2 linked regions of the Ovis aries genome follow. The protein of the gene in region 2 purifies or fractionates together with the protein of the main gene of each other region. This does not show direct contact. Links are inferred from orthologs where the notes say so. Each region holds a gene or a part of one and is shown on either strand. Other genes may lie near its edges.

Evidence for each region. The genes of interacting proteins can lie anywhere in the genome.
Region 1: the proteins of HADHA (region 2) and GPC1 purify together in Homo sapiens (co-immunoprecipitation; 3 studies listed by BioGRID and IntAct, with this or other methods). This does not show direct contact. The link is inferred for Ovis aries from reciprocal best matches to the Homo sapiens genes HADHA and GPC1.

What each region holds. Positions count from the first base shown.
Region 1 is NC_056054.1:1,107,753-1,110,054, forward strand, and holds part of GPC1 (glypican-1), read right to left. Parts: coding exon 2,261-2,302; intron 1,575-2,260; coding exon 1,444-1,574; intron 1,363-1,443; coding exon 1,243-1,362; intron 1,157-1,242; coding exon 1,023-1,156; intron 691-1,022; coding exon 509-690; intron 1-508. UniProt on the Homo sapiens protein: Cell surface proteoglycan that bears heparan sulfate. Binds, via the heparan sulfate side chains, alpha-4 (V) collagen and participates in Schwann cell myelination.
Region 2 is NC_056056.1:33,449,957-33,453,475, forward strand, and holds part of HADHA (trifunctional enzyme subunit alpha, mitochondrial), read right to left. Parts: intron 1,501-3,519; coding exon 1,362-1,500; intron 96-1,361; coding exon 1-95. UniProt on the Homo sapiens protein: Mitochondrial trifunctional enzyme catalyzes the last three of the four reactions of the mitochondrial beta-oxidation pathway.

The DNA of each region.
Region 1 (2,302 bases), on a different chromosome or scaffold from region 2:
TGGAGCCTGCCGAGGCTGGGCGGACGTGCTGGCTGGCTCACAGCCGTCCTGGAAACAGGGTGGGGGATCGGGACCACAGTTGGGCAGCAGCCGGGCCTTCAGAGCCACCTGGGCCCCGGGGTGGGGCCCCCCCCCCGCCCACCTTTCCCTATCTAGGGCCTCCCCCGACCCTGCACCCTTTCCCAGCTGGGGCTCCCTGGTACCCCCACCCCGGGTGCCCTCACTGGCGTCCTGGAGGCCCAGGTCGTTGTCCACTCCCCCGCCCGCCCTCACTGGCATCCTGGAAGCCCAGGTCGTTGCCCACCCCCCTGCCCACCCTCACTGGCGTCCTGGAGGCCCAGGTCGTTGCCCACCCCCCGCCCGCCCTCACTGGCGTCCTGGAGGCCCAGGTTGTTGCCGACCCCCTGCCTGCCCTCACTGGCGTCCTGGAGGCCCAGGTCATTGCCCACCCCCCGCCCGCCCTCACTGGCGTCCTGGAGGCCCAGATCGTTGCCGACCCCCTGCCCGCCCTCACTGGCGTCCTGGAAGTCCAGGTCGTTGCCGCTGTAGGCGCCGCGCAGGCGGTTGGTCATGATCTTCAGCTGCATGATCTGCTGGCGGATGGTCATGTCCGGCTTGGTGATGTCCACCTCCACCTCGGGGTTGTTGATCTGATTGGCCAGGCCATCACCCATCACCTCGGGGAGGTACCTGGAGACCAGAAAGACAAGCCCTGGGTCACTGTCCTGCTCCCCACAAAGGGGCCTGGCCCCAGCAACACCCATCCAGCCCTCGCTCCTCCAGTCAGGGTAGTGGCAAGTCCGAGACCCCCCTCCCCATCTCCCGAGGCCTTCAAGGGCTGCCAGGAGCCCACACAGGCCCCTGCAGCAGAGCGTGGAAGCACTGAGCGTGTGTGCGCGGTGGGGACCTGGCCCTCGTCCCGGCTCTGGGTCCCGCGGGGTGTCCCACATCAGACTTGGTGCAGGGCAAGACACACCCGGGGCCACGGACAAGCTGAGGGGCCAGAACGGCGGGACACTCACCGGCCCTTGGCCATCCCATTCCAGCAGCGCTCGTCACTGGCTGAGCTCATGGCCAGCTTCTCGCTGCACAGCGTCCCCGGGAGGCTGATCCAGAAGTCTTGAGCGTCTCGGAGCTGTGCCTTGGCTTCGGAGACCTGCGGGCAGTGGTCAGGCCACCAGACGCACCCCCCAGCCTGCCCTGCCCTCTCCACCCTGGGCCCGCCCAGCAGAGGCCACTCACCAGCTTCTGCAGCGTGCCGGCGGGCGGCCTCTCCTGCAGCGCCAGCTTGCCCCGGGGCCACTTCTCCTTGGGGCCAGGGCCCTGGGGGTTCACCTTGGGGTTCCCGCAGCCCTGGATGACCTAGGGGAGCACGCAGGGGTCCTGACGGGCGCGAGGCCGCATCCGGGCCCCCCCTGCCCCCTGCTCCCCCCCCCGCCGCACCTTGGCCGTGAGTGTGTCACTGTTGTCCTGGAGGGCGTTGACGGCCTCTGCCAGCCAGTAGTGCACGCCGCCGATGACACTCTCCGCACCCGACGGGCCCCAGAACTTGTCCGTGATGAGCACCATGGAGTCTGGCCAGCGTGAACAGAAACACGGGGTACTTTGCATGGCCGAACGCTGGCCCATGGCTGTGCTACGCACAGGCATGTCAGCCCGCAGTATTTCTGTGTGTCTGCTCACTGCAGGCCAACCCACCTACACGTGAGCTCCGGTGTGTGCTGGCATGTGTGTACAGGCTGAGCACGTGTGTCTAAGCTTACACCCGTCGGCACATACACACACACCTGGCCCACTGTGTGCACACGTCGCCTCAGTCTCACGACGTTTGCCTCACGCCATCACACGTCCACGTTAGTGTGTGTTTCGGTGTGTATGTGTGCTGGCCTGTGTCACCACGGGGGTCGATACGGATGCGTGCTGGCTCACCTCACACGAGCAGATGCACACGCAATTGCAGGCATGTTGGCGCGTGTGTCTGGAGACCCACCTCAAGTCTGCACATGCCAGCCGGCTCACCCCCTGGCAGCAACGCCCACGGTAATTCAGGCGTGGGTCGCCCTGCGTGCGTCTCACGTGTACACCTCGGCATGCTCGCTCAGTGGGCAAGGACAGGAACCTGGCCCCCAGGGCGCCCTCCGGGCAGCTGGCCATGGCACCTTCCTTTGGGAGACTCAGAGGGAACCCTGCCCCCCAGCCTCGGGGACCACCCGCTCTGGGGGCCAGGCCCCTGAGGGCAGTCGCGGCAGTGGGGGCTCACCCAGAAGGTTCCTCCACTCGGCGTCCAGGTCGGCCTGGTTGG
Region 2 (3,519 bases):
CCTGCTCCTGGTAAGATTCCCAGTAAGACCTCAGGGGAACCCAATACTGTTTTCTTATCTTTTGTTGCTATTCTGTATTGGCATGAAATGGCAAGCTTCAAACAAATGAAGGAAAATTAGAATGTTAAAAAATGTAGTTTTATAGCATCTTAGGATATGTGAGGGTCTAAAAATTACTTATTAAGCAGGAATGTGCCCACAGAATAAACTGAAATTTGTTAGGCTGGCATTTGATGCTTTCTAGAATTTACCTTTCTGGCTTTCCTTCATTTCTCTTTCCTAAGTTATTAAACTCTTTAGGGCTGCAGATCCCCTTGAAAATCTGCTGAAAAGTATGGAAATTTTCAATAGAAAAATGCACATACAATTATATAGGTATTTCAGGTTTAGAAGCCCTATACCCTATAAAGACTCTTCAGTCAAGCAGGCCTACTTATGGTATCCTAATTAGGCTTTGTTATCCTTGTCTTTGCTCACATCATGCCACATGTGGAATGTTTTGCCACTGTTTTCTGGTTAATCAAATTCTGCTTATCTTTTAGAACCATATACAGCTTTCCTTGGGAGAAGGCAATGGCAACCCACTCCAGTACTCTTGCCTGGAAAACCCCATGGATGGAGGAGCCTGGCGGGCTGCAATCCATGGGGTCGCGAAGAGTCGGACATGACTGAGCAGCTTCACTTTCACTTTTCCCTTTCATGCACTGGAGAAGGAAATGGCAACCCACTCCAGTGTTCCTGCCTGGAGACTCTCAGGGACAGAGGAGCCTGGTGGGCTACCATCTCTGCGGTCGCACAGAGTTGGACACAACTGATGTGACTTAGCAGCAGCAGCAGCACAGCTTTCCTTAATTAATGTGTGAAAGTGGCTAGTATAGAACCCAGCACGTGATAAATGTCCAAAAAATGTTCTTATTTTCCTCCCTCCTTCTTTTCTATGTGTTCCAGTCTGGTAAGTATCTCTCCTCTCAGACCTTGTGTTATTTATCATCTTTACTACACGCAGAACACATGACATACACTATATGCTAACTGTCTCAACTAAAGTAGCTCAAGAGCATGAACTGCACTTCTGAATTTTTGCCTTGCAAACTTGAACAAGGTTTTTTAGAACTGAAAGGGAACGTAGGGATCTAGTTCAACTCTTCTCAATTTATAAATGAAAACGTGCCACTCTGATTTGCTTGCTCAATGCCATGAGACTAAGACTAAAAACCTATCCAGAAGTTTAATGACTCAGAAAAAGCTGACTCGCCCTCAAGAGCTTTTCTTGAGGCAAAACAGTGGCCTAAAGGTTTGCAGCTGGTGGATCCCAACAATGAGCTGGCCCGCGGTTCAATGACTCTGGAAGAAATCTGTACCTCAAGTCCTCCTCCTAAGCAGGATCCATTGATGGCAGCCACAACAGGCTTTGTGGACTTCTCAAGTTTCTCAAACATTTTCTGTGCTTCTTGTGATATTTGGGTTACTTCTTGAGAGGTTGTACAAGCATTTAACATGCTACAGTAAACATGAAAACAGAGAACAGAAAAAAAACTCACTGTTCAGTACTTCATCCACCATAACCTTATTATACCATATATCAATATTTGGTAGTGAGTCTTCAAATACTCAGAAGTTTAAGAAGAATGATTTTGTCTCAGCACTAATATCAGTGACATCACCTCTCTATAAAATTCAGGGAACATGAACAAAACATGGTGAATAATTTATATCTGCTTTGATAGCAAATCATTAGATTACAAATCATCTTCTGATAAATATTTTCATGATCAGATTTAACATTTTAATTGTCAGTAGTTTTTAGACTGAACATCAGTGGAAATGATAGAGAAAAAAGCTTCTCTTACAACAATGTTTCCTCAACATCCTTTAATTTCAGTTTCCTTCATTTGCTACTTAACTGTTTCTGAACACATTTAAGCTGTGGGTTTTTCATTTTTGATCAAAGATAACTGATTTCCTGTCATTCTGTGTGCTGGGAGTGGCTCAGCTAGCCTCACAGAAGCTGAAAGTATTTTCCTAAGGATTTAGGTGGCTACTATTAGGTACATCAATGTCTTGCTTGGCTGGAATAACCAAGCCAAAAGAAAAAGTCCTTGATGTAGATAACTCTGCTTTTTTCAAAAAATAAACAGAATATCTATTAATTTCTAATTACTGTACATAAACAAAGAAGAGAACACAATATTCAGTGCAGTTGTGTCCGACTCTTTGCAACCCCATGCACACCAGGCCTCCCTGTCGATCACCAACTCCTAGAGTCTACCCAAACCCATGTCCATTGAGTCGGTGGTGCCATCCAACCATCTTATCCTCTGTCGTCGCCTCCTCCTCCTGCCCTCAATCTTTCCCAGCATCAGGGTCTTTTCAAATGAGTCGGCTCTTCACATCAGATGGCCAAAGTATGGAAGTTTAAGCTTCAGCATCAGTCCCTCCAATGAACACCCAGGACCAATCTCCTTTAGGATGGACTCTCAGGAGTTCTCCAACACCACAGTTCAAAAGCATCAATTCTTCAGTGCTCGGCTTTCTTTATAGTCCAACTCTCACATCCATACATGACTACTGGAAAAACCATACCCTTGACTAGACGGACCTTTGCTGACAAAGGAATGTCTCTGCTTTTTAATATGCTCTCTAGGTTGGGCATAACTTTCCTTCCAAGGAGTAAGCGTCTCAATTTCATGGATGCAATCACCCTCTGCAATGATTTTGGAGCCCAAAAAAGTAAAGTCAGCCACTGTTTCCCCATCTATTTGCCATGAAGTGATGGGACCGGATGCCATGATCTTCGTCTTCTGAATGTTGAGCTTTAAGCCAACTTTTTCACTCTCCTCTTTCACTTTCATCAAGAGGCTCTTTAGATCTCTTCACTTTCTGCCATAAGGATGGTGTCATCTGCATATCTGAGGTTATTGATCTTTCTTCCGGCAATCTTGATTCCAGCTTGTGCTTCCTCCAGCCCAGCGTTTCTCATGATGTATTCAGCATATAAGTTAAATAAGCAGGGTGACAATATACAGCCTTGACGTACTCCTTTTCCTATTTAGAACCAGTCTGTTGTCCCATGTCCAGTTCTAATTGTTGCTTCCTGATCTGCATACAGGTTTCTCAAGAGGCAGGTCAGGTGCTCTGGTATTCCCATCTCTTTCAGAATTTTCCACAGATTATTGTGATCCACACAGTCTCCATCCACAGATGCCAAAAAGGACATCTTTTTTGGCATAGTCAATAAAGCAGAAATAGATGTTTTTCTGGAACCCTCTTGCTTTTTTGATGATCTAGCAGATGTTGGCAATTTGATCTCTGGTTCCTCTGCCTTTTCTAAAACCAGCTTGAACATCTGGAAGTTCATGGTTCATGTATTGCTGAAGCCTGGTTTGGAGAATTTTGAACCTTACTTTACTAGTGTGTGAGATGCGTGCAACTGTGTGGTAGTTTGAGCATTCTTTGGCATTGCTTTTCTTTGGGATTGAAATGAAAACTGACCTTTTCCAGTCCTGTGGCCACTGCTGA